7 linked regions of the Xenopus tropicalis genome follow. The protein of the gene in region 1 interacts with the protein of each later gene in a biochemical or structural test. Links are inferred from orthologs where the notes say so. Each region holds a gene or a part of one and is shown in the gene's direction. Other genes may lie near its edges.

The links.
Region 2: the proteins of nck1 (region 1) and map4k1 form a complex in vitro, tested with the Homo sapiens proteins (2 studies listed by BioGRID, with this or other methods). The link is inferred for Xenopus tropicalis from reciprocal best matches to the Homo sapiens genes NCK1 and MAP4K1.
Region 3: the proteins of nck1 (region 1) and khdrbs1 form a complex in vitro, tested with the Homo sapiens proteins (3 studies listed by BioGRID, with this or other methods). The link is inferred for Xenopus tropicalis from reciprocal best matches to the Homo sapiens genes NCK1 and KHDRBS1.
Region 4: the proteins of nck1 (region 1) and faslg form a complex in vitro, tested with the Homo sapiens proteins (2 studies listed by BioGRID and IntAct, with this or other methods). The link is inferred for Xenopus tropicalis from reciprocal best matches to the Homo sapiens genes NCK1 and FASLG.
Region 5: the proteins of nck1 (region 1) and erbb3 form a complex in vitro, tested with the Homo sapiens proteins (2 studies listed by BioGRID and IntAct, with this or other methods). The link is inferred for Xenopus tropicalis from reciprocal best matches to the Homo sapiens genes NCK1 and ERBB3.
Region 6: the proteins of nck1 (region 1) and lcp2 form a complex in vitro, tested with the Homo sapiens proteins (2 studies listed by BioGRID and IntAct, with this or other methods). The link is inferred for Xenopus tropicalis from reciprocal best matches to the Homo sapiens genes NCK1 and LCP2.
Region 7: the proteins of nck1 (region 1) and sos1 form a complex in vitro, tested with the Homo sapiens proteins (2 studies listed by BioGRID). The link is inferred for Xenopus tropicalis from reciprocal best matches to the Homo sapiens genes NCK1 and SOS1.

The regions. Positions count from the first base shown.
Region 1 is NC_030681.2:132,192,638-132,196,902, reverse strand, and holds the start of nck1 (cytoplasmic protein NCK1), read left to right. Parts: upstream 1-1,465; 5' UTR 1,466-1,591; intron 1,592-4,265. UniProt on the Homo sapiens protein: Adapter protein which associates with tyrosine-phosphorylated growth factor receptors, such as KDR and PDGFRB, or their cellular substrates. Maintains low levels of EIF2S1 phosphorylation by promoting its dephosphorylation by PP1.
Region 2 is NC_030684.2:80,455,411-80,459,417, reverse strand, and holds the start of map4k1 (mitogen-activated protein kinase kinase kinase kinase 1), read left to right. Parts: upstream 1-1,207; 5' UTR 1,208-1,288; coding exon 1,289-1,396; intron 1,397-4,007. UniProt on the Homo sapiens protein: Serine/threonine-protein kinase, which plays a role in the response to environmental stress. Appears to act upstream of the JUN N-terminal pathway.
Region 3 is NC_030678.2:86,525,397-86,528,316, forward strand, and holds part of khdrbs1 (KH domain-containing, RNA-binding, signal transduction-associated protein 1), read left to right. Parts: intron 1-751; coding exon 752-868; intron 869-1,485; coding exon 1,486-1,632; intron 1,633-2,121; coding exon 2,122-2,294; intron 2,295-2,626; coding exon 2,627-2,822; intron 2,823-2,920. UniProt on the Homo sapiens protein: Recruited and tyrosine phosphorylated by several receptor systems, for example the T-cell, leptin and insulin receptors. Once phosphorylated, functions as an adapter protein in signal transduction cascades by binding to SH2 and SH3 domain-containing proteins.
Region 4 is NC_030680.2:107,206,071-107,210,333, reverse strand, and holds the start of faslg (tumor necrosis factor ligand superfamily member 6), read left to right. Parts: upstream 1-1,463; 5' UTR 1,464-1,527; coding exon 1,528-1,791; intron 1,792-3,153; coding exon 3,154-3,199; intron 3,200-3,552; coding exon 3,553-3,609; intron 3,610-4,263. UniProt on the Homo sapiens protein: Cytokine that binds to TNFRSF6/FAS, a receptor that transduces the apoptotic signal into cells. Involved in cytotoxic T-cell-mediated apoptosis, natural killer cell-mediated apoptosis and in T-cell development.
Region 5 is NC_030678.2:137,736,574-137,740,713, reverse strand, and holds the start of erbb3 (receptor tyrosine-protein kinase erbB-3), read left to right. Parts: upstream 1-1,340; 5' UTR 1,341-1,519; coding exon 1,520-1,601; intron 1,602-4,140. UniProt on the Homo sapiens protein: Tyrosine-protein kinase that plays an essential role as cell surface receptor for neuregulins.
Region 6 is NC_030679.2:32,309,771-32,314,011, forward strand, and holds the start of lcp2 (lymphocyte cytosolic protein 2), read left to right. Parts: upstream 1-1,441; 5' UTR 1,442-1,629; coding exon 1,630-1,707; intron 1,708-4,128; coding exon 4,129-4,191; intron 4,192-4,241. UniProt on the Homo sapiens protein: Adapter protein primarily involved in signaling pathways within T-cells, as well as other immune cells such as platelets, mast cells, and natural killer (NK) cells.
Region 7 is NC_030681.2:42,909,279-42,913,289, forward strand, and holds the start of sos1 (son of sevenless homolog 1), read left to right. Parts: upstream 1-1,211; 5' UTR 1,212-2,075; coding exon 2,076-2,180; intron 2,181-4,011.

The DNA.
Region 1 (4,265 bases):
GCTATTATACCCCCACTGCTACTATAGGCACCATCTCTCCCTACTATACCTGCTATCCCACAGCCCCAGTCCCTTCCCAGAGGCTGTGGAATGCCCTTCCTAGTGATGTGGTAATGGCAGACTCTGTTAATGCCTTTAAGAGGGGCCTGGATGAGTTTTTGAACAAGCAGAATATCCAAGGCTATTGTGATACTAATATCTACAGTTAGTATTACTGGTTGTATATATATAGTTTATGTATGTGAGTGTATAGATTGGTTAGTATAGGTTGTGTGCTGGGTTTACTCGGATGGGTTGAACTTGATGGACAATGGTCTTTTTTCAACCCTATGTAACTATGTAATTATCCCACTGCTACTATAGGCACCATCTCTCCCTACTATACCTGCTATCCCACAGCCACAGTCCCTTCCCAGAGGATATTATCCCACTGCTACTATAGGCACCATCTCTCCCTACTATACCTGCTATCCCACAGCCACAGTCCCTTCCCAGAGGCTATTATCCCCACTGCTACTATAGGCACCATCTCCCACTACTATACCTGCTATCCCACAGCCACAGTCCCTTCCCAGAGGCTATTATCCCACTGCTACTATAGGCACCATCTCTCCCTACTATACCTGCTATCCCACAGCCACAGTCCCTTCCCAGAGGCTATTATTCCCCCACTGCTACTATAGGCTCACTACTATACCTGCTATCCCTTCCCAGTAAGTACCACACCTAATACACCAACATTTGCTGAAGACTAAAGCCCTTAATACCATACCAATACCAGCATCATTTCACCCTATGTTACCTGTTATAGCGTACCACAGGCTATTGCTAATAGAGCTGCTAGTTGCAGAGAAAGCAGGCTGTGAGCATGCGCATATGGGGAGGCTTCCCGGCCGTCCCACCCCTCTGCAGACCCTACCATATGCCAGCGCTTAGGGGGGCGACCCCTGTTTTCAGCTTTTGTGCCCCAAGCTACGCGCAAAACCCCGAAAATCACACTGAAACATGTTAATTATGAAATATCATTTGCATAATCTACGCATGCGCATCTCCCTCTGTTCATGACGTCAGTAAATTTCTCAAGTAAGAAAAGGAATACAAATCGATGCCCTCCAGCGGGACGTGAGATGACAAGTCACAAATACTGTCGTACAGACTGTCCAGGTTGGAACTCTCAGATTCTTAGCCTTGCCTTATTTTTCCTGAAATGAAACTAAAAGCGCCGAAGCGGAGCAGCATATTAGGGTAACAATGACCTAACGCCGGCAGTACGGCACAAGCGTTACCCTTGCGCCTGCGCAATGGGTATATTCGCCGTCAGTACATTTTTTTTCTTTGTAGTGGGCGTGGCCGCAGGGTGGAAGTATGACGACGCTTGGTTTGTGGCAAGGAAAAGAGCAGCGTTGCTTGTACGCGGGCGTGGCTAGGAGTGGTGGGCGGAGCTAGGTGGTTTCTGATGCCTGGCCGGAGAGGTAGAAGCTCTAGGCGGTTGGAATCTCTGTGAGGTCCGTGTTGGTGAGGTGTGTGCTGGGGCACATGGTGCCAGGCTCCGGGGCGCGCTTTCTCTACCCAGCTCCGCTGCCTGTCTCAGGTGAGCTTCCTTGGCTTGTCAGGGCGTTCTGAGAGGAAGTTACGGTGGGTTGTATGTCGGGGTGGGAGGGGGTCGTGGGAAAGGGAGAGGCCTGCTGGGGAGCTGAGTATCATTCCCATGACTGGCTGTGGAGACCTGGAATGTCATATTCGATTGTCTCCAAGCTGCTACGTTGTGCAGCTTCCCAGCATCCTCAGCTAGGGCACTATTGCAAGATAACCCTGCTTAGCTTATCATTTGTATTTCAGGGCTCTTGCTGAACCACAGCACCCACATTTCTCACTTCCTTAGGTGATGCTTAGAGTATAAGGAGTGGGATACACCTTAATCCCCCATAGCCTATCATAACCTTTTCTGAAAATACATTCTGACTGTTCTTTTCATTGATAAACAAAACAAAAAACTCCATATTTTCTTAGTCTAAGCAACTCCCTCTCTTTAACCCTTTGTTGCAACTGTTTTGGGGATACTTATAAACAGATGCCCAAGCTACAGAGGGTACAACTGTGCTCTCATAATCTTATTATCTACCTTACAAGAACCAGGAAGTTAGAATCATGGAGTCGCTTCAGTTGCTCTGTTTGCCCAATTTAGTTAAAGCAATAACAAACACCATCGATATGTTTTAATTAAAACAATAGACAAAAAGTATGTTTGGCACAAACCCTCTTTATTGCACTCATGTTAGGCAAGGAGTATACTCCTTTAAGTAGCTGCAGGCTTGCATGTTGGGAATCCCAGTTATGAAGAATAAACATGCATATTCTCTACTGCATTAACTATGTTTTATTATACAGATGCCTCACACTGTTTTCCTTATAGGCCTAGCCATTGATTCCCTACTAAATATTAATTAATGAAACTCGTTAGGCTGTGAACTGAAGCAGCACCAAGTGGAGTTGCATGGGGCTACTGCAGCTTAGTCAAATGTTTTCACTTTAGTTGTTGGCGTTTTAGTGATTGTGGTATGAACCCTGCATCCATGTGCATGACTGTGGGAACCCCAGCCTGGGTCTCTGAAACCCATTCATCCTCCTCATTTGTTAGGGATCCACAGAAGAACAACAGCAAGGCAGCTACAAGCTAAATATCTTGTTCTGCACACTGGCCCTTGTGGGGCTATGGCTTGTAGTAGATAGATACTAGATGAGTTGCCATGCTATGAAAGCTGTTAGGGCAATGGTACATGGGGCACTGGTGAGTAGAATTGGAAATCATGTGTTCTGCATAGCACTCCCAGTGGTCTATGAGCCATTGATCTTACATGACATTTATACCTATAACTTCTTACAGTTTTATTACAAAAGAATATCTTAATTGAAAATGGATTTTTACTTTCCTTACTTAGGAATCTGGACCAGCTCCTTTTCTCCTTCTGTGTTGCCCAGTCATTTAAGGCAGTTCATTCAGCAGACATGGGTCAATCTACATCCATGCATTGGTGCTGACTCAAATAGATCCACATGCCTCCTTTTCTCTGGCCAAGTGGCTTAGAAGGGGAGGGATCATAGGCTCATTTACTGGACAGACCAGTGGCTGTTTAGTCACTTAAGTCATTAAATGTCTCTTAATTGAAAGAGCAGTTTTCCACGGGGAGCCATTTTTTCATCGGATGCACCAGTCTTTGTGGTTGCATGAAGCAGGAAGCACTGTTGCAGTGCAACTGAATTACACAGCAGAAAGCAGCTTGTAAAGGAAGTTTGTGTGAGTGTGCGAGGAGGGGTGTTGTTTCGGTTGACTTTAAATCATGTATAATTTGAACGTGGAAATTGGCAAATTTCTTTTGAACACACTTGTGTTTTTAGCTAAAATATTCCTCAACCAGGAAGGCTAAAAACAAATGGTCAAAATTAATAAACATACAGTCGTAGCCATTACGGTATATTTTCATGAGTCAAAAGATATTGTAAGAGACAGTGAAAACAAGGCCAGACAGTAACGGTTGTGGGTGTATGAGTAGAAAGGAAGGAAAGTAATGGTCAGTATGACAACAAGAGAATGAGTGACTGTGACAGGATGTATATACAAGCTCATACTGACCCCATAGATAATACAGCAAACTATGGATCAGAGTGGCTTGATTCTATTCATTCTTCATAGTTTGGGCTGAACTACACAACGGTCAACAAAGCACATAATCCAAATAGTTCCACTTGTCCATAAATAATGCTACTGATAGTAAAAGTAGAGTCTGTTAACTACGTTAAAGTTGTCATCTGACACAATCCGGCTGTCAAAAGCTTCCAACCTATAGCAGCTAGTCTAATAGTCTAGTCCAGTGCTGTCCAACTGGCGGCCCGCGGGCCGCATGCGGCCCGCGGCCCCCCTCTGTGTGGCCCCCCACCTGTCTGGCTGCTTTGATGGCTTACCTTTGTGTAAGCTTTAAATGGTATCAGAACTGTAATTAACTGCCCCCCCCCCCTGCATGGTTCTCACCTCAGATTCAGGCTGTAATCAGGCTGTATTGTTTAAATATGTAATCCCCTGTACTGTTCACACCTTTTAATCTCTGCATTGTTCACCCCCTGCAGTGTTCACACCTCAGGCTCAGGCTGTAATCACACCCATTGTTCACTTCTTCACACCTCAGGAGCAGTAGAAACCCACAAATAATCCCTGCATACTACAAAAAGAACATATACTGAGGTGGTACTGCAATTAAAAAGTTTTTTAA
Region 2 (4,007 bases), on another chromosome or scaffold:
CCCCTGGAATGGGAGAGTCCTATAATTACCGCCTGCTTTTTACACCTTGTGGCAGATATTTAATCTGAGCAAGGTTCAAAGCATTGTTTGAATGCTACAGAAGGTTTTCTCCCCTTAGTCAGGCAAAATAAATTGTACTATGACTATTTAAATTTTATAAACCTCGTTTCCTTCAGTCTTGGAATTCACAATTACAGCAAAGCAGGCAGGTGTCATTTTGTGGGCACTGTTATTAAGACAAGCTTTGCATCATCCCAAAATGTTTTTTATACACCAAAATGGGGGAACTGATCCCCATGAACATACAGACGATACACAATTATAGACCATGAGTAGAGTGGGGGAATGTGAGGAGTGCAGTTATATCTAGAATGGAAAGTGAAAGTAACTGCCTGCCTCAATGCCTGGGGTATAGAGGTGGGGCAGGCAATATATGGTTGACAACTTAGATTTTCAAATAACTTTATAACAGGTATTTGATGTTTTAATTTAAAAAAAAAAAAAAAATGGGTTTAGTGTTTAATTTGGAATGTCTGGGTGACAGGTCCCCTTTAATGCTCCAGCACTTGCACCCATAACAGCTGTAACAGAGTACCAAAAGCAGTGTCTCTCACGCACCATAATGTAGTTCTGGTTCAGTCCGCCTCTCTAAGAAAAGAAACAAGAAAGGTCAGCATTGTAATCAGGAGAGAGGATGAGTAATGGCTGTGATCCTGTATAAGTTCTAACACAGTGATGGGGACCTGGGGTCTTTGCCTTGCTTAAAGCACCTCTGTTTCAGTGGTAAGGCAAGTTGAAAATTTATAACTTTTCTTTTTGAGTGGAGAGCCCAATAGCAAATTCTCCCCCTCCTGCCCTTCTTGGTGTGCTGGAGGCCAGCTTGATGGTTGGGTGGGAGATAGCAACACTGAAGCTGTATGTTCGGGCTTTTATAGCTAAATATTAACCACCTTGAAGTAAATAGATTTTATTAGAAGTGACCTGGTTAGTGGTGGATAATTTATTAGTGTAGCTGTACTTTCTGCTGCTTTTCCCAAAAGAACTGGAGGATAGGGGCGATATAATGTTTGTGACAGGGCGTGGCAGTCACCAGGATATGTGACTAAGGCAAGGAGCAGTAGCCTATGTGTGTGTGAAAAGGAGCAGGGGACCGGATGCTCACACACATCAAGTGTAAAGTGTTCAGCCTGTCAGGAAGCTACAACATTTATCAACACCAATCAATGTGAAGGCTGCAGCCTGTGCAGTCTTCCTGTGCTCATTCACTTGCACCCTGGCTGCCTGCAAGATGGATGTCCAGGGCCGTTTAACTTTAGATATATCGGACAGGGATCCTCAGGATGATTTTGAGCTAATCCAGAGACTTGGCAGTGGAAGCTACGGTGAAGTTTTTAAGGTAAAGGGGAATGTAAAATGTTACTAGGGTTTCTAGAAGAATTTGGGATGCTACTAGCCTGTATAAGAAAAGTGAATTTGTTTGAATAGTACATATGGTAATGCTGTATTTATCAAAACTTTAGGGATAATGGCTTTCTGGATAATTAACCTCAAACTATTTACATTGAACCATTTGCTATGTACATTTGGATAGGCCTCAGAAATTTGGATATGTAATGTATTGCTGCTTCATCATTTTAATCTGTCTTATTCTTCTATGGGTAATTGCATGCTGTATTACTTGCATGTTGAAAAAACATTAAAACTAAAATAAAATAATGAAAAAATATTTTGTTATGGTGGGTATACCGCATACCAGGGAGAATGCAGCTTAATCCTTCACCAATCCTTCCCTAAACTGCACCCAAAATGCTTGAAAGTCTGCGCCTCATGCTCACACAGGTCATGTCTAACTCTAGTTTCACCTCCAGCAGTGTTGCAGTTCTAGCTCTGTACTTGCCTTGCACTTGCTTTCTTGGTGAGTGGAACATATGACACTAGGTACCCTTTTGATGTATAGGGATATATTCTTAATTCAAATTGATATTGCTGTCTCGTAGTGCATATGCTATCACTGACTCCCTCTTTGGGAGTGCAGAAGTTCAAATGGAAAGTGGTTCTAGGACACTGAGGTAAGTAAGAGGCACAGATAGCTTCTCTGTGCTCTGTATAATACTATGTATCATAGTTTTAAATGTAGTATTGACAGTATCTCTTATTTAAAACCAGTTTGGCCTTTCTTTAAATAATGTCATTTTCACATGGGGGATAGTAGGTTAAGTGGTAAATTGGTTTACTGGAAATTGTTTCACATCTTATAATGTTTGCAAACATAAAGAGGGCTGTTTAATTGCTGACCCAGCAACACCATCATCTGTGTATCTTGGAGTCAGCTAAACAATGCCAGGCTTCATCTCGTACCTCCATTCTAACAGTGAAACCCTGTGCCTTTTTTGTGCCTCTCCCCCACCAACCCTGTCCATGCTGTGCATGCAGTTTTCTCAGAGCTTGCTTCCTGTGGTTCTCATCTAACAGGTGCACACACACAGAGCATCCTCTGGGCTTCCTGTAACTGTGCGCTCTGCTGCGCATACAGCTCTTCTCTTCCTTTGCAGGGCTTCAAATAATTAATGCTAATATGCTAATACCCTGCCTGCAAATAACCACCATTCATCACAGAAAGGACTGGTGGTACATAATGGAGTCTCAAAATGTGCGGTACAGTGACTAGATGGCTTATAACTTGGATAACACTAGATGCCATCCAGTCTGTATTTTAGCCTTGTGCTGAATATATCAAATGCCTTTTGCTTCAGTTACGAAAAATGTTATGTTTTTTATTATTTCCTGAGCTATACAGGACAAACAGGGAAATAATAGTTACTCCATGTTTGGTCTTTGTAAGGTAGATAATTATTTTATCAGTATTGCATCCCCTACCGGCTCCCTTTGTTGTGATGGTTTTTTTGTTTGTCCATTATGTAGAAGGATTATCTACTTCACAAGGACCAAACATGGGTCAGCTTCAGTTTCCTTGTTTAGCTTATGAAGTTACAAAAAACATTTTTTTTTTATGATTAAAACAGAATGCAAAAAGTGTGTTCAGGACAAGCCCTATTCCTTCAACTCATATTGAAAAATGGGGCATACTTTACAGGTACTTTACAGGTACTTTATCCTGTAATTTGTTCTGCATCACATTTATTTTGATGAATCATTTTTGGATGGCTGGTGCAGATTTATTATCTTAATTGTAAAAGATAGCTTTAAGATATTAGACTTAAAGGAGAAGGAAAGGTAAAAACTAAGCTTTATCAGAAAGGTCTATGTAAATACAGTCATAAGCACTTACAGTAATACTGCACTCTATCAAAAGAAACACAGGATTTTCTTTTTTATAAACATGATGTTCTAGTGTTTGACTTCCTCTCTCAGAAAGATCCTTAATTCCCGTGGCAAGAGTCTGCACAGTTCTCTCCTCGCTCCCCTCTCTTGCTCCCCCTTCCACTAGAATGCTAAGAACTCCCTCCCCCCTCCATTAGGAATGTGTGATCTGAGCTAGAGATGCAGGAAAGAAGCTACTTAAAATGGCAGCTGCTATCTTAAGCAAACGAAGAAAGCTTCTAAAGCTGTTTACTCAGGTTTAGTAATGGATTTTGCAGAATAAATATAGTGTTCTAGGTGGCACTAATGTGGCAAATCTATTGGCAGTAAAATGCCAAAATGACTTTCCTTCTCCTTTAATGCACAATAACAGGGAAAGTTGCAAAGTGCGAAAAAACAGATGCAAACTTTTTTGCACTTTTCACCATGTTTTCCTGGGATTTGTGCCTTATAAGCAAAGAGAACACAAAAATATGTGTCTACTGTGTCCAGTTCTGCATAGTGCATACTGTATAGGCAACAAATAGGTGGGATGTGGTTGTAATGTGCAAGGCAGATATGCCAGGGGTTGCCTGTGCCAGGTGCAGTCATTATGCATCTCTAAATTTGCTTGTGAAGTGTTATTTGAGAGGATTCAAATATTATGTATATAAAACAAATTGTTGTTACATAGCTTATTGCATTGT
Region 3 (2,920 bases), on another chromosome or scaffold:
AACAATTGTAAAGCTTACATGAGAAGGTTGCCGCAACATACATTAAAGATTCCTGACCTGAACAAATCAACCAGTCACTCCAGTCTGATAACACTGTTGGGCTACATTCTACCACATGGCACCTTTGAACTAATTACATGTAAAGCCATTGAGGAAACTGTAGGGAAACTTTGCAATAAGTCTTTTTGCAGCAACTGGCTTAAAGATTGTTATGCAATGGTTGATCTTCAGTGGTCTGATGGCGTGTCGACCCTACACAGGGATGGCTCTGTTTTGTTGCTTTTTTGCAGCTTCGCTAAATGCCTTTATGTGCCGATGTGCTAAAATCAACCTGAAACAAACCTTCCAAGCAGATGGTTTGGGCAGAGTAGTCAAAATTGGGTTACGCTACTTGAGCATGTATAGCCAACTTAGGTCATCTTACATAGCTTCCTACCAGTCCACATAGGGACTGCAAATGGCCAATCACAGTCCATATTTGGTACCCCAGGTTCTTTTTGAATACTTGTGTTGATCTATAACAAGTTTTTAGATTGGAATTGTGGCTCAAGGATAAAAAAAATCTGGGGACCGTCGCTTTAGCTGTAACTTGTCTTTGTTGCTTTTAAGATTCTTCACTCACCCCATATGTGATTTAAAAAGCAAATTATTATGATTGCGAGTTAATAAATAACTTATATGTAAGTGAAGTGTGTAACTTGGGAAGTGTAAAGAAGCCTTTTGTAATCATCATTTTTACCCAATTTTGTAGTTTAACTTTGTTGGAAAGATCCTTGGACCACAGGGAAACACCATCAAAAGGTTACAGGAGGAGACTGGAGCAAAAATCTCTGTTCTTGGCAAGGGATCAATGAGAGATAAGGCAAAGGTAAGGGCTAAATTATTTATTTTTCCTGTTAAAGTGGACCTGTACTTTTCAAATTAAACATGAAACCCAAATTCATTTCTATATTAACACATTCAAACCCATTATAAAGGCATTAAAAAAGCTATCAATCAAATATTTCCTGCCCCGCCTTTATGCCTTAAGCATAGAGGCGGGGCAGACAAGTACTTAAACTTTCAATTCAGCTCTCACTTTTCCCCTCCCTCCTAACCATCTAATTGTGTAGCTAGTGCATGGGCATCTGGTCCCTCATTCTGGCACATACACAAAATTTTGGGGTGATACAAAGCAATTTGCAGTTGGTTTTCATTTTATATATATATAATTTTTTTTTTTTTAGTTCACGTTCAGCTGCTCTCCTGTTTTGTTTTTTTTATTTTTTTCAGTAAATTTTCAGTGGCTTTTATCAGCTATTTGTTTGCTGGGGTCCAAATTATCTTGGCAGCCAGGGAGTAATTTGAATGAGGGACTAATATATGGATAGGAAAGAGCATGAATAGAAAAGTTGTAAAAAGTAACAATAAAATTGTAGCCTCACAGACCAATAGTGTAATGTGTAAAAGGAAAACCCATAGTAATAATCATGTCATTGATTTCAGGAAGAAGAGCTGCGGAAAGGAGGGGACCCCAAATACAGCCATCTGAATATGGACCTTCATGTGTTCATAGAGGTCTTTGGACCACCATGTGAATCTTATACACGTATGGCACATGCAATGGAAGAAGTCAAGAAGTTCTTGGTTCCGGTATGTGTAATCAATTTTTTTTTGTAATGTAATTTGCTGTAAAAATATCCTAATCAAGTATTAGTTAAGTAAGTACTGAATAAAGTCAAAGGATTTTTTCTATAACTTTACTGTAAACTTTTAGGAATTGGCCAAAAGCAAAATGTGTGTAGTTTTTTTGCTGCTGTTTAAACAAGCACTGAAATTATTATAGATTTAGGAGAAAAGTCCACACTTTTTTGACTTCTGAAAAGTTTGTCTTCCGCTGGACCTTTTAAATTAGCTTATTGTAACCATATAGTGATAGTAAAGTTGTTGGCTCATTTTTCATTTTTATGTTATAAATGTAAAGAAGTAAACTGATGTCAATGGATGTGTGGTTAGGTGTTGATGGCTGTAATTAGAATATTGCATAGCAGGTAGAACACTAACTAACTTTTTTTTTTTTTGTTAATCTTCAAAACTACTCAGCAGCAAAGTCCTGAGTAAACAGTTTTCTTATTCTTTTAGCTGACACCTGAGTCTTTTTCATACCAGGACATGATGGATGATATCTGTCAGGAACAGTTTATGGAGCTATCTTATCTTAATGGAGCACCACCAGAGCAAAGCAGAGGTGGAACAAGAGGTGGACCATCCAGGGGCAGAGGGGGTCCACCACCTGCTGCAGCTCCTTCTTCTAGGTAATCTCTAAGGCAGCTAGCTGCTATGTTACTCCTTGCAGGAATCAAACTGTCAAACAAAACTAAAAATTGTTTAACCTGGGTCAGCCTCCAACCGAACTCTCACCTTTCCTTTTAGCATTCTTCAGTACTGTATAACCCTAGCTTTTCAAGCATTGCCAGTTGTGATATTCTGACTTACATTTGCTAAGGGTTACAGCAGAAGCTTTGCAAGTTTGTTACTTTTTGGTGTCACTCCCCCCTGTCAGCCCTTTTTCCCCCTTTAAGGTAAACTTTTGTATGCAAGATGTTCAGGGTTTTGGATGAGACTATGTACAAATTTATATTAACAGAGGCAGGGCTGGGCCTCTTCGCCCTCTTGTTCCAAGAGGTGCCCCCGGACGTGGAGCCATATCGCGTGGTGCTAGTGTGAGCCGCCCTGTACCCCCTTCCTCTGCTAGCCGAGGTGCACCCGCTGGAAGAGCCCGTGGTGCTGCTATCCAGAGAATCTCTCTTCCACCTCCTGCACCTGAAACATATGATGAATATGTAAGTGTCCTACAACATTTTTATTATTTAGTTTTGAGGACCTAGTCTATGTATGGGTTTGCAGACTGCTGTTGTCATTGAATACTGGAATGTTAAAC
Region 4 (4,263 bases), on another chromosome or scaffold:
TTTCTTTCTTGCCCCCTTATTATGTTTTTGGTATTATATTGTTAACTGTTGTTTAATGAGCTTTAGTAGATCTTTCATAAATATAAACCACTGTGCTAAAACCTACTGTACTTTTTATTTTGGTTTGCTTTATTAGGGCCCTTTGACCTTTATGGGCCATAGTTTGTTATGCTCCCAGGGATACCTGGTGCTACCCTGGGTTGGTGCAGGCTCAGTACCGGGATTTTTCTGACTTTACTGTATTATGCATGTCAACTGTCAACCTAGGGATCCCTGGAAGAATGAAATAAGATGGTAACTGTCATATAAAGGAGTAATTTTAGAGGAGTCCTTTAAGTGCCATGACTATGGACTGAGCATTGTCTTGCTTTGCCTCTGCTTAGCTGAGTAAGTGACCATTTTCATCATATCATATATGCTGTGACTGTAATGTATTTTTTTTTTTCAGACACAACTGGCTTTTAACTGTACTTTTTATTGTCATTCTCTAGAAGGGACAAGTTGTAGCTATGAAGGAAGCCACATAAGGTCCATTTTCATAGCGGATAACTAAAGACTACAGCAGCCCCTCTTGTATACCTTTGGTATAAATAGATTGAGCATTGGGCTATACAAAACCTACTGAGACACCAGCATGACTCAGGGATGCTTTGGCCATCAGGCTAGGTAAACAGCAAGGAACAGCTAATAGCTACCATGGAACACTTGTAACTTTAAGATCCAATGCCTCTTTCAAACAGACTGACAATGCTTCTAACTACTGAAAAGCATTATAATCTCCAGCAGTAGCAAGAGGCAAACCTCCAGTCAGGAATGGCTACCTTCCGTCCAACATATGTACCTACCAGGCCCTCCACAGTGGCAATGGGGAGTTATTTGTGGTTAGGCATTGGGCTAACACTTGACAGCTGGGCTCTGCCCCCTTAGGCAGCAGAATTGCCCAGAATGCACCTGTTATTATTACCAAGTCATATACAGTTATATACATATTAACTTATTGAGTAGCAAAATCACACCCACTTCAGAAAGAGATTTGTCCTGAGAACATGGTGGTTTGTTTTATATTCACTGTAAAATATCACTTTGGTTGCACAGTGGGCTGAGAGTAGACCGGTGCTTGGCATATAGAAACTACTTGCAGAGGTCCTCGGCTTATAGAAACAGTTAACCGTGACCCTTTGTGCAATGTCAACCCCAACATTCCTTTTTAAAACCTTTACTATATTTTTTAAAAATACTATGATTTATTAAAAGCACCCTGATCCCTATGCTTTGCTAGTCCATACACTCTCTGAATGACCAAGTAAGAGAATGCTGTAGCATTTTGAATCACACTCTGTTCCACTTTTGAACTATGAAGAGAGGAAGAAAGGGGGTGGAAGAGGGTGGTGTGAATTAGCAGCTAGAATCTATAAATGTACTTACACATGAAACAACCACAGTTTTTTCCTTCAGCAGCTAAAACTACAGCACAATACAAAGACATCAGCAGCACATTACGTTGATTTCAGATTGACAAATCCCATTATGCAGCAAGATATGAGATACGCACAGCCTTCAGTTTTTTGGACGGATCCATGTAGAACCCCACCATTGCCACCATTGCCACCAAACCAAGTCAATATGCCTCTACCACCCCCATTCCCGGACTTCAGGAGAAAACGACGTAAAGATGGCACTTGTACTTACTTGCTGATCATGTTCCTTCTGATTTTGCTAGCACTTTTTGGTGTTGGTCTTGGCACCTATAAAATCATCGAGTTGCAAAAGGAACTGGACAACGTTAAGGAGGTACATAACATATTAATTTTAGATTTTTTCTTTATTTTAACCTAACCAACCTAAGTAACTTGCCAGTGTTTTATCTGGCAGCATAGAAAAGCTTTATAATGATATTTCTGACCAAGCTAGGGTTGCTCATTGGTGGCCCTTAAACAGTGATCCAATGCAGACAAATTTCTGGTGGTTCCTCTGTATGCACAGAAAGCTGATTGACTCCGCTGTCCCAGTGTCATGGTTATCTGCTGTACTTCATGGCAGGGCTTTCAGTGGAAGGGCATAAATTACTTGAAAAACCTTTGGTTCTCTCCACATCACCATTTAAAAATGATGGTACCCTTAAATTTGTCATAGAAATAATAATGCAGCTTGGTTTTACAATAAGATATTTTTCAATAATATCACTATAATAGTTTAGTGGTCTATAGAATTCCATTAATTCATGAGAATAGGAAAACTGTGATTACTTTTTTTTATATAATTAACAAATCCCTGGGCAAGTACAGGCATGGGACCCATTATCCAGAATGCTTGGGACCTGGGGTTTTCCGGATAAGGGGTCTTTCCGTAATTCGGATCTCCTACCTTAAATTTGCTAACAAAAAAAAAATTAAACTGTAGTTAAACCCACTAGGATTGTTTTGGCTCCAATAAGGATTAATTATATGTTAGTTGGGATCAAGTACAAGGTACTGTTTTATTATTACAGAGAAAAAAAATAATTTTTAAAAATGTGAATTATTTGATTAAAATGGAGTCTATGGGAAATGGCCTTTCCTTAATTCAGAACTTTCTGGATAATGGGTTTCTGGATAAGGGGTCTGATACCTGTACCTATGTACAGAATTTAAAAAACTTTAACTCCACTTCTTCTAAATGGTGCATTGAGGGATTTTAAAAATGTGCTTGTTCTAGAGCTAAAAAATTAGCTGTGTCGTGGATTGGTTTATATGTGGTATATATTAAAGTAACCATGAACTAAGAAAACCAATGCACCACCTTACTCCTGCTACTGTGTTTCTGTCTATCCAATTGCTTTGGAGGTGCACAGGACGAAGACAGGACCAAAGGTGTTTCTTGCTGCAATTAAAAAGCATATTTTTGGAGAGTATCCAATAGGAGGAGCTCCTGCTCCATGAAACTACTTTTTTCCCCAGACACACTGACATTAAAGCAGTTGGAATATCCATCACTGTTTCCTTTGAGCCCAAGCTTCACCCCTTGTCTAGTAATAGAAAAGAAAGCAACTTAGCAGCTGGAAATAAATAGTATAGTAGATAATGATTTCCATAGTTGCAGTTCATATGCAGATTTCATAAAGCTGATAATGATTTTTGGAAATGCAAATAATCTCCACAAACTTTTTCTTTCTAGATTTCTGGTGACCAGGCATTACCTCCTGCTTTGGAAAAATTAATTGGTGAGTTACAATATGTTTCTCTATAAAATAAAAGTGTGGCATATGCTATTTAGCAGAGTTTATATGGGAGTAAGTTCTAGAAGTGTTCTCCTTTAGCTGCTGCATTTGGTGAGCAACACTTGACGGTTACTTTGAGGTTGTGAAGTACTAATTTCTATTTCTTGCCTATGGCCAATGCAGGCAATTCATTTAACCAGTGTTGGAATGCTTGGTGCTACATCTAATAACTGTGAGCCTTCCTGCAACATCAACAACAATTGGCCTTGGTCTACCTAGCATTTCTCTCACTTTGCACTTTGTGCTTAGGTTAGGACCATACTGGAAAATCAATTGAATGTTTGCTCTTTTTACAGGGTTGAACAAACACCCAACTGAGAAAAAAGAAAGTAGACTTGCTGCACATGTAACAGGTAGGTAATCATATGTGTTTTTAATGCATGAAGTATGGATTCTTAACTTACAAACCCTTGGACATAATAACTACACATGGTACCAGCCCAAGACCTCTGAGGGCCTTTCCCAGCTACTTTGCTGGGAACTCTTCAGTTGCATGTTACATCCTAATATGCAGTAGCACTCTTGCCTGTTGAAAAGGTTCTTCTGAAGTGGGAATAGAGGGGTAGGGGAATATGGTACTGGGTTCTTACAGGCTCAGGTACAACACTGTTGCAACATTGTCTACAGTCGCAGGTAGACTGGGCTTAATCTACAACTGTTTAACGGTGTTATTCAACATAAGCTCAAGAAATAAGGCTTGGCCAATTTTACCTTATAAATATATACTTTCTTGGTTCTGTCCAGTAAGGAGTAGGAAGTAAAGGAGTAGGTAGTAAAATAGATTACCAGTCCTCAGTAGAGGAGTAGGTAGTAAAACAGATTACCAGTCTATCTTTGCATAGAAAGATTATACAAACAAAGGCTGCAGATTAGTTATAGCTTCTGCCACACATGGCGGATTCTTGGCCTTCAGATAAACAAGGTTTATAATATTAAAAATAAGGAACATGGATTTTTAAAAAAAAAATAAATTTAAAACTAAACAGAAGTCCTATATATTATACTGA
Region 5 (4,140 bases), on another chromosome or scaffold:
TAGCAACTATATGTCCTAGCTACTAAAATAGACAGTGCTTATCATCTACTGATAATTGTCTCTACGTGTGTTTTAGCAGAGGCAATTCTCAGTATTGTCTATAGCAAGGTATTTTCTGGTGTTCAGTAATGTGAAAAAGTAGCTTCTACTAGTAACTCAGTGTGTCTTCACCCTAAGACTTGTGAATTCCACTTTGCTTTGTGGTGCAGTTGCTGAAAAAATGTATGAAATTTTGGGTTGGGGGGAATCAGAACTTTAATCTCACAGTCATGATATATTCATGTGCCATTTCTATTCTACACATACACCTGGAAACCAAAACTGTCACAAAATTAGTTTCTACCTAGTCTGTGAACATATTTGATTAAAACTATAAAAAAAGCATATGTGAGAAAAGATCGTGTGTCATGTCAGGGACTCTTCAATGACGAAGAGCGGGTTCAGCTTTCCCTGCGCTAATCCCGGACCTGCCGCTAGGCGTCCCCGCTGATCTGTAGCCTTTGAACATGTTGTGGGCAGCGGTGGAACCTGTTCCTTACACTTGTTTCTTTTGATGCGATTGTTTACGCAATTTGTTCATTCTTTCTTAGCATTGTGGAAAAGTTTCGAAAGGTGTGTCTTAAAGGCACAGAGCAATGGCGTGAGACAACCTGTCTCTAGGTATCTGCTGGAAAACCAGCCCAAACGGAGTTACTGAGTTAACTAAGACCGTTTTAGAGACATGGCAGACTTTTCAGTGTCCAGTCATTGAGATTTAGTATTAGATTTAGTAATTTGTATTAATTAATTAGTTAATTAAACTAAACAAAGTGTTTTGGTAGTTTTATGGGTTGCACCCACTTAAGGGTCCAACATTTGGCCAGACTCCCCTTAATTCGTAGCAAGGTAACCTAAAATAACCTTTGAGGAATTCACTGACAAGAATATACAGCGATTAACTGACAGGACGTGAATATGTAGCATAGAAAGCGTTTGCCTAAGACTTAACCCTACATGAGCCTCAGCGTGTGCTTTCAGGGGTATCTAGAAGAGTTAATAGGCATTTCGCCCAATTTCACTCTAACTTGGCTTTAGGCTTGGTCCCGCAGCCATTCTTCTACGTCCCCTAGTGAAGCCAGACCCACAGTTTGGGACCCACTGAATTAGAGGTTTGGAAAAAGGATGTTCGAACTATTGCCCTTCAACTATGCAAGGCTGTGGGAATTCTGGGACTTGTAGTTTAAAAACAGCAGAAGCGCAGTAAGTTGCACTGTCACTGATTCACAGGTCTGATCGCAACCCATTTACCGGCTCTGGGCCAATCAGAGCGCGGGTGGGAGGGGCCTAATACAACTTTCTCTTGTGCGAGGAATGTGTGAGAGAAAAGCGCTGTCAGAGAGTGAGAGTCCCGGCTGCTAACCCTGCGTTCTGCCGTCCGAGCCCTATCGCACCCAGGATATTGTTATTGGCTTATTCCTCCCTGCCCGGGCCATGTGCCAGCTCACTGACTGACACCCAGCGGGACCCACAACTGCCAAGCATGGGGATCTTGCCGGGAGGATGGACTGCCCTGGTGCTGATCTGCTGCCTTGTGACTATGGAGCCAGTGACAAGCCAGAATGGTAAGTGTCACACCTGCCCACACCGACACCTGCAGCCTGAGCCTGGCGTGTAGCCGCTAAGCATAGTCCTAGGGGAGGGGGTGGGCACTGGCGGGCATTGGCACTAGACCTATTGGCACCGAATTTGTGGTAAGAAATCAGGCAGCAGGTTTCGTTACATCTGAAGCTGCAGTGATGCCAGTGATGCCCAGGTGGGAGTGAGGGAAAACTTTCATTGTGCGAGTTTGTTGCTGGGCAAGTGCAGCTCCTCGTTTCTATGCGGTACCCCCCCCCCCCCCCCCCCATCTGTGGCCTCGGAACGTGTGGCGGCCAGCGGCGGAACCTGTTCCTTCCACTTCTTCCCTTCTTCCTTTTCACTCGATTGTTTTCGCAATTTGTTCATTCTTCCTTAGCTTTGTGGAAAGGAGTTTCAGAAAGGTGTGTCTTAAAGGCACAGCTCCTTTTGTCATAGTGTACCTGCTGGAAAATCAGCGCAAAGTGCAGCATTGATTTATTAATGGCCATCTTAAAGGCACACAGGGCAGGTCTCACCCTGTACTCCTTCAGTTGTGATATTCAGCTCATGGAACTCAACATCTTTTGTATCTCAGAGATTGCTGGGTTTCTTGTTAAATCCCAACAGTTGAAGGTACCATCACACTCTCCTACTATACCTGCTATCCCACAGCCACAGTCCCTTCCCAGAGGCTATTATCCCACTGCTACTATAGGCACCATCTCTCCCTACTATACCTGCTATCCCACAGCCACAGTCCCTTCCCAGAGGCTATTATCCCCACTGCTACTATAGGCACCATCTCTCCCTACTATACCTGCTATCCCACAGCCACAGTCCCTTCCCAGAGGCTATTATCCCCCACTGCTACTATAGGCACCATCTCTCCCTACTATACCTGCTATCCCACAGCCACAGTCCCTTCCCAGAGGCTATTATCCCTACTGCTAATATAGGCACCATCTCTCCCTACTATACCTGCTATCCCACAGCCACAGTCCCTTCCCCGAGGCTATTATCCCCCACTGCTACTATAGGCACAAACTCTCCCTACTATACCTGCTATCCCACAGCCACAGTCCCTTCCCAGAGGCTATTATCCCCCCACTGCTACTATAGGCACCATCTCTACCTACTATATCTGCTATCCCACAGCCACAGTCCCTTCCCAGAGGCTATTATCCCCCCACTGCTACTATAGGCACCATCTCCCCCTACTATACCTGCTATCCCACAGCCACAGTCCCTTCCCAGAGGCTATTATCCCACTGCTACTATAGGCACCATCTCTACCTACTATACCTGCTATCCCACAGCCACAGTCCCTTCCCAGAGGCTATTATCCCCCACTGCTACTATAGGCACCATCTCTCCCTACTATACCTGCTATCCCACAGCCACAGTCCCTTCCCAGAGGCTATTATCCCCCACTGCTACTATAGGCACCATCTCTCCCTACTATACCTGCTATCCCACAGCCACAGTCCCTTCCCAGAGGCTATTATCCCCCACTGCTACTATAGGCACAAACTCTCCCTACTATACCTGCTATCCCACAGCCACAGTCCCTTCCCAGAGGCTATTAGCCCCCCACTGCTACTATAGGCACCATCTCTCCCTACTATACCTGCTATCCCACAGCCACAGTCCCTTCCCAGAGGCTATTATCCCCCCACTGCTACTATAGGCACCATCTCCCCCTACTATACCTGCTATCCCACAGCCACAGTCCCTTCCCAGAGGCTATTATCCCACTGCTACTATAGGCACCATCTCTACCTACTATACCTGCTATCCCACAGCCACAGTCCCTTCCCAGAGGCTATTATCCCCCCACTGCTACTATAGGCACCATCTCCCCCTACTATACCTGCTATCCCACAGCCACAGTCCCTTCCCAGAGGCTATTATCCCACTGCTACTACAGGCACCATCTCTCCCTACTATACCTATTATCCCACAGCCACAGTCCCTTCCCAGAGGCTATTATCCCACTGGTACTATAGGCACCATCTCTCCCTACTATACCTGCTATCCCACAGCCACAGTCCCTTCCCAGAGGCTATTATCCCACTGCTACTATAGGCACCATCTCTCCCTACTATACCCGCTATCCCACAGCCACAGTCCCTTCCCAGAGGCTATTATCCCACTGCTACTAAAGGCACCATCTCTCCCTACTATACCCGCTACCCCACAGCCACAGTCCCTTGCCAGAGGCTATTATCCCACTGCTACTACAGGCACCATCTCTCCCTACTATACCTGCTATCCCACAGCCACAGCCACAGTCCCTTCCCAGAGGCTATTATCCCACTGCTACTATAGGTACCATCTCTCCCTACTATACCTGCTGTACAACAGCCACAGACCCTTCCCAGAGGCTATTATCCCACTGTTACTATAGGCACAATCTCTCCCTACTATACCTGCTATCCCACAGCCACAGTCTCTTCCCAGAGGCTATTATCCCACTGCTACTATAGGCACCATCTTTCCCTACTATACCTGCTATCCCACAGCCACAGTCCCTTCCCAGAGGCT
Region 6 (4,241 bases), on another chromosome or scaffold:
AGCAATGTGCAATTCAAATTTGCAATGCAGTAACAGTCTAATGATCAATATTACATTGCAATATGTGAATTGTTATTCATATTTGTATGCATTTTTTTCCATTTAGGTCTTTTTTACATTCCCCCATTGAAGTATCCTTTTTGTAGAGCCAAAAAATTGATGTTGGTTATTCCTGTGAAGTTCTAGAACCTTGTAGTCAATGCCTTACGCCATGGGGCACAGGCCAGCCCTAAAGGTGGCCATACACGAGGCGATTTCGCTCGTTGTGCGATGAACGATTATATCGACAAACGATCGTATGGCGATCGAGTTCCCATACGATATGCCATCCACGGGCAACGATAATTCGGGAAAGATTTTGTCGCATCATTATCGTAAAATACCTACGATCGTACATCTACGTACGATCGATGTCGTTGCTGGCAATCGTGACATGCGCAGAGAACAATCGTTGAAAGACAAATGTCTGACACTCACACCAACTGGCAGATTTTATCGTTAAACGACCAAAATTTTTAAACCTGGCCGATCGATTTTGGGGACGATAATGTCGGCTCGTTTAGTGGGCCGACGATCGTTCGTACACCACCAACTATACGATAACTTAACGATAGCATCGGATCGTTCGCGAATCGGTCGTTTGTAAGTAAAAAATCGGTCCGTGTATGGCCACCTTAAGCCGCTCTTTACTTTGCAAGTTTGAATGATGTACAAATTAGAGGGTTGTGGGGGACAAGTGGGGGGACACCCACATGCCTCCCACCCCTCACCAATACAGTGCTGATTAACACAGTCACTAGTGGCGTAACTACCAGGGGAGCAATTTGCAAAGACCCCTTACTTCTATTTTATTAAATAAATGGATGTGGCCTCTTTGCTAAAATTCAGACGAGGGAATCCTGCTGGATTTGATCACATTTTCAAGATGTGGTGTCTATTCTGCAGGATATGTTATGCACCTCGGAGCTGTCTAACACCATTCTACTGTGTGGGGTATTAGAGCTAGGAAGTAGCACTGAGCTCTAACACCCCTCTAAACCTTTATTCTCAGATGCAACTCACAGACATGGATTATGCCTTTTTGTTACCTCAATAACTATATTATTTCGTACACAATTCCCAATAAATTGCATTTTTTCAATATAATCTGAATTGTAATTTCATGCCTAGTATTTAGGAATACAGTTCCAAAGTTAACAAACAATTAATAGAGAATTGTGTGCCATTAAATAAAGTATGCGCCATAAATTCCCTATTAATAGTGCTGTAAGGGAAGGAGTATGATTAATAATTGTTTTGTTTATTTTTTTTAATGTAGCTACAGCTTAACACCATAAACGAGTCTCATTTGAGGAAGTGGTACAGGAAGTCAGTTGCCTTTTTCTGAGAAGCGAACGTTCACACCAAGGGGAAGTTGCATTTTCAAAAGATGATTCAGTGTAACTGAATGGCAAAAGCTGCATTGTGTATTGTGTCTGTATTGTTTAACTAAAGCAGGCACTGACTACAAATTTCACAGGAATAGACAACATCTTTAAACTTCTTGGCTTGGCCAAAGGGATACTGTGAAGGCAACTGACTAATATGAAACAACCTGTTCTGTAAAAAAAAAGAAAGAAGAGAAAAAACATGGATTTCCGAAGCATCCCTTCATGTTCCGAAGTCAGCTGTTGGAGCCCTGAAGCTCTCATTGAATATTTTAGAGCTGTAAGTACTGTTATATAAAACTATATATATACTGTATGTATTCTGCTGTTATACATTTTACACACACACACACAGCTCATAAGAGCTAAGAACTTTCTGCAGTAGCGGTATCAAGTGGTTCCTATAGAAGTCAACAGGAGGTGGTGAGACTCTGTTTAATGCCAGTAACAACACAGTATTTAGAACCTGTTTTTAGAACCTTAGAATGCAAGCAGGAATGTTTAATGATACGCATTTTGTAGCTGTTATTATCTAAGAAAAGAAAAAGTATATATTTTTTAGTATATTTCTACCACTTGCATTCTAAGATTTGTACATAAAATAAACATATTTATTTTCAGTAATAAATACTTTTTTCAGTAGTTTCCTTTTCAGAACTAAGTTGTGTTTTCAGTTTCCAACTCTCCTAAATATTGTGAGACCTTGATAGAAGGGACCCATTTATTTTGTTCTTGGCTTCTAGCCTCTTATTGACAGAATTGTTTATTGGACTTTTTGTCTCTGCCTAGCTATAGTCCTTCTTACCCCATATGCAATTTGTCTGCTGAAATACAGACACAGCTCATTTTATCTAGATGTTTCACACATTGTGGCATGAACCATATTGTACCATTTGTGCCATATAAGCTCTGTGATGCCACAATGTTTGCTCCATCTGAATGAGCCAGTTTAACCCTTGCCATGTGTTAGCATTCAGGCTAGACTTGTGCCATGCAAAATAAAAGTAATGCTGCACCTCTCTGAGCTCAAATTTGGAACTTTTTGGAATACTGTAGCCTTTTTACTGCTGCTCACTAATGTTTTGTGTCCCCTATGTCCTTTACTGGCTGTACTTCCACCTTTTATTTCCCTGCTGTTTCTTACCTTCGCTTATGTTTGACAAAATGCTTTAAAGGCCTTATAATGGTTTGGCAACAACGTCAAATGTTGAATGTGTCTCTGTTTTACATGAGAGAGGTTTTGCATGTAGTGAGCTATAAATTACCCCCGTTCCCTGTTATTTTTTACTTAATGTTTAAAACAGTTGGATTCTAAATGGGGGGCCTACAGCACAACTGAAGCCTGAATATCAGCTGGCAAAGTAGTTTCTTTATATAAACTCAGTTAGAACCCTGGAATGAAATGTGCAAATTGGCAAGTGAAGGGTGGCAGGTCACTATATTTAAATGCAGACACAACTCTTTTAAAATTGTGTTGTTACTGGGCTTTAAATTAATGTAGTCTCATGCACAAGTCATTAAAAAATGTTACATTATTTTAGAGGTATGGGATCCATTATCCAGAAACCCGTTATCCAAAAAACTCAGTATTATGGGAAGGCCCATTTTAAAACATATTTCCTTCTTTCTGTAATAATAAAACAGTACCTTGTACTTCATCCCAGCTAAGAAATAATTACGCCTTATAGGAGGCAAAACAATCCTATTGAGTTTATTTAATGTTTAAATGTTTTTTTTAATAGACTTAAGGTATGGAATTCCAAATTACGGAAAGATCCCTTATCTAATAACCCCCAGGTGACATTCATTCTGGATAACAGGTCCCATTTCTACTTGTTTTGCTAGCAGCCTATGGAATAACATATTCAGTAACACATTGCCATTAACAGCAATGAAATAGATATCTTGTAGCTTGGCAGTGTTGTCCACTACATATTCAACACCTGTGGTCAGTGGTTAATGTGGTTCCATAGTGGGTATCTTAATGCACACACATACCCACACGCAAACAACATTTGCATTGACTATATAGACCAAAGAATAATACTAATGTAGCATCAATGCTAGTCTACAAGCAATATCTCAAATGCTATCAATGCTTTGTCAAATCATTTACTTTTTTCTCCTGTAGATCAGTAAATTATAAAATATTTTTTAGCAAACTTACTACTACAGTAAAAACTCAATTTTACATACCCTGATTTAAAGTTTTTCCTTATTTATACCCTTTTTTTGTGGTTCGACCATTATATAGTGCATAAAGCATTTTCCTGATTTTATACTATTTTTTTGGTCCCCTGAAAAATGTAAAATGGGGGTTCTGCTGTATATATAAAAGTCTCTCTATGCATCCATCATTTACTCCTTAATATTAATGTGTCATGTATAAACAGGAGAGATTTAAGGATTTTTTGTGAATGAGATAATTATATTTAAATCTATGCTTTCCTAATTTGCTTTGGTATTATTACCTCAACACCATAAAATCTATATGAAGTCAGCAGAAAGCCATTTTATAGAATACAGTATATCATATGAATACCCATACATTGTTATAAACCGTTATTTGTGTCATTATCAGGTATAATCAGTTCTTAAGTTCTTAATGAGTTGGTTACTCTATGTCTATGTAATGAAAATGTAATTAATTTGTGTGTGTGTTTTTTTTTTAAATGCCTTTATGTTTGTTTCCTTTTAAAAGCACAACCTTCGTGATTGTGAAAAGTTGGTCAAAAAGCAAGGCATTACCGGAAAGAGATTTTTGGTAAGAATTTGATTCCATGGTTAATGCACTGGTCTTTTTAAGGCAGTACA
Region 7 (4,011 bases), about 89 Mb from region 1:
AAGGGGAGCTTCCATTATCGGCCCTCCACCATATATGACGGAAAAATTCCAGCCCTTGGTACCACAGAAGTTGGACAGCACTGCATTAGTTGATACATTTCTCAGCAGTATCTGTGCAATGTTAGCAACTCTTAACTCAGAAATTATGCTCCGCAGGGCCAAATGTAAGAAATGTAATAACTAATGTATGAAATTAGAGTAGTGTATAGTGACCTCTTCCCAGAGGATTTTTAGAGAGATGAGAAGATGAAAAATTACACTTTGAACTTCAATATTAGAAAACCGGTCAAAAATAAAAAAAAATGGCAACTGAAAAGTTTTTATATCTGGTGTACTATCTGAAAACAAATAAACTGAAAAAAGTAGATACACTGTTTACTGGTCAAAAAGGACTTTTAGGGCAAAAAAACAAAAAAAAGTAAAAAGAAATTGATGTGTGTATCAAGGTAGGTTTAAAAGAAAGATTACTAAAGCAGTCTTCTTAGGCCCCTAACAAATAAATACATTTATTTACTAATGTTTTGGGGTCCTAAATTTAATTTACTGTGGGGCCCAGTAACATGTAGTTACACTACTGGGTTGGTGTCTCCTCTCATGGGGCTATACACTTAGAGCCATCCTTAAAGCATAGCAAAAAACGAGAGCTACATAGTGCCTATATATTAGATTTATAATTTAAAAAAAAATGCACCCAGTCTCTGCCCGCAGATTTCCTTAGGAAATCTGGTGATAGAGCTGGGGGCAGGTTTAGAGGTACAGGGTCAGGACACTGCGGAACTGATATCACGCGCAAGCTGCATGTGGGTGGAGGATGGGGCAGTGGAGGAGCTCAGACTGGGGTTGGGTGGCCCCCTGAGGTGGCAGCCCCAGTGAGCCCCAGACACATCAGTCTGACACTGTACACAGTTTTAAAAACTAACAAGATGCTTTACAAGGAACAAATATCAGAACTATCCCTGCAAATTAGGGGTTTGTGGTAAGTAAACTTGACATAAATTGAAAAATCAAGAGAATGAAGCAAAAAATGTATAAGGTTTCCCCAATACTGCAGGTTTATATGAAAATACATTGAATGTATTGAGCAGCATATTTGTATGCAGTACGCTGATCAAAGGTATAGTACCATAATAATAAAGCTATTTGAAAAAAAAAAAAGTGGTGCGCTTGTGGCTAAATCAGGCGTAGGCGGAGTTAAGGTCGGTGGTCACATGACGGCGGCAGGCAGCCCTTCTGTCGCCCCCTAGATTGCGCGCAGTCGCAATACAAGTCTGTTCCAACGGCCGCTGAGCGCTGCTGTCTGGCGAGAGTGTGGGGGGAATAAACTAACAACAAAAATAATAACAAAGTGACGCATCAAGAGTCCTCTTGCGCCATCATTACCACAGGCTGGGTCGAGCTGCTAAGGGAAAGAGAAGTCGGCCGTAAACAAGGAGGGGCGGCGAAGGAGCAGACAACAGGGAGGGGAACCGGGGTGTCTTTTTTTATCCAGTGACGCCCGTCCAGACCCCCGTTTTCTGGATGCTCAAGGAGAACGCTGCGCCACTGGAGCTTCCCAGTCTGCCTTTGTTATTAGCAGAGAGACGGGGCGGCGCGCTGGCAGCTCCTGTGTGGGCCCGGGAGGGCAGAGCAGCCCCTGAATCGCACCTCCATCCGCGGCCTCCTAGCTCACCCCGGAATTAAGAGAGGTCGGGACTAGGAGTAAGCAAGTGCGTGCCTCCGGCCTAGTCCCACCCATCTCCTATGTATACACACAGCTGTCATATATGTACAGGCAGCTGTCAAGTGCAAGCGGTGTCCATGAGCCGCCCCCCTCCTTCTCTTTCTCCCAAAGGGGAAATGTGCGCCCTATGCTGCCCCGTTTAAGGGGCAACTTCTTCAACTTCCCCACCCTTATGGATCATTTGTTGCCTTAAAGCCGGCATCTGCTCATTTGGAAGGCGGTGGAGTTTATCTGGCGGGGCGGGGGAGCATAAGTGGCACCCCCACTTGAAGGACCCAGTCTCCTTACCTGGCAGGCGCCTTTCTCCCCCACCTGGCATTGTGAGGATTAGGATAATCCGCCCCCAGCTCTACAAATGCCGAGGGAAGCCGTCATGCAGGCCCCACAGTTTCAGTACGACTTCTTCAGTGAGGAGAACTCCCCCAAATGGAAGGGTCTGCTGGTTGGTGCCCTGAAAAAGGTAAGAGGGGTTACAACATGGATGTTCAACCTGTGACAAACCAGTCTATTTCTGCAACACCCAGAGGCCACAGGCTGTTTTGTTACATGGAACCTTAAAAAACTCTGCCTATAAACTTTCCAATATAATTCAGCTACACATTTTCAATGGTTTTAATGTTATTTGTAAATGTAATTGCTATTGAAAAGTAAAACTCTGCTTGACCTTTTGTATACCAAGGCCTGTCTTTTTAAACAATGTAGCAGAAGGCAGCTAATTAACAGACCTCCAAATAATCATGCTTCTGCTACATAGTATCAAGAGATGGTACAAAAATACAGTTTTCAGTTGCAATTGCATGCACAAATACATTTAAAACCAATCATTTCATTTTAATGAATTGCATGTTGGTAAGTTTCTTAAAATTTTCATTCATTAGATAGCATTGTATTTGTGGGTTTTAAGTCCCCTTTTACATAAAAGTCAAATGACTACAGCTGTCCCCTGTCACTGGCCTTATTCACACTCCACACTAATTAAATGGATATGTATAATGGAACTTAGCTGGTCCAACTAGTCAGAAATGAAATCTCGGTCCTCTTTATGGCTGTGATATTTAGATGTCTGTTAAAACCAAGGCCAGATCTGATTTTAAGTACTGCAAGGGGCAAAAGTAGGTGTCAACTATGATCCTTTCCCACAGGTTCAAGGGTTTGTTCACTTTTTTTTCAGCACAGACATTTTCAGATGCAACAAGGCTTTTTTTTTTTTTTCAATTGCCTTCTATTTATTATTTCTAATGTATATTTTTCTAAAATTGAAGTTTAAACTTTAATGGTACTGTCTCTTGTGTTTGGCAGCTCAGCAATCCAGGTGCAGACCCTGAACTGTTACATTTTGCTACATTAGTTGATACATTTATCAGCAGCAGCTGTGGAATGTTAGCTGCTTTTAATAAAACTCCAGCATTATACTCAGCAGAGTCCAAGATAAGAAATGTAGTAACTGACATATCAAATTAGAACAGGTTACAGTGTCTGTGACTCCACCCTCTCCCAGAGCTGTTTTAAAGCAATATTAGAATACCAATCACAAATACAAATTAAAAAGCAATTGAATAAAATTATTGCTGGTGTCTGGAAGGTGAACAATGCCATAACGGTCACATTACTGTACATCTTATGAAAAACTTGTATAAAAAAAAATATACACCTAATTTTTATGTTGCTAGTGTAATACTCATTACAATAAAAGGTCTGCACATGCATGCAACCCAGACCAACAGAAAGTGATCCTTGGGAAAGTTTGGCAAAATGGCATTGCAATGCTCACTGGAATAGTACCTGGGCTGCCACGTTTTTCAGCCAAGAAGAGTTCTGGCTCAGGGTCTGAGGATATCAGTTAGAATCACTGGGGAGTGTACCCCTCAATGTTTAAATTTTAGACCTCCTCTAAGTGTTTTGAAAATGAAAAATTGAGTGAGTCATGTCAGACAGGTTTAGTAAAGGGAAACTTAGTAAATTATTATTTTTTTATGAATTTATATTTTTTTTTTCTCTGCAATGTAAACATATGTCTATTTTCTAAAATCACAGGTCCAAGCCCAACAACCAAATGTATATACATGTATTTGCTAGGTTCTTATTGTCATATTTAATCAGTCTTTTATTTCTGTTCAGCCATTCTTCTGTTTGTCTTCTATTCTGTCATTTAGGCCAATTCTTGACTTTTATGGATTTGGATCAATGATTCTAGCAATCTGGTGACAGACTAGTTTTAGCAGTTGAAATGACAGACTAGAGAGCTCCTGAACAAAAAATGTGAAATAGTAAAGAAAAAAAATTCAGATATT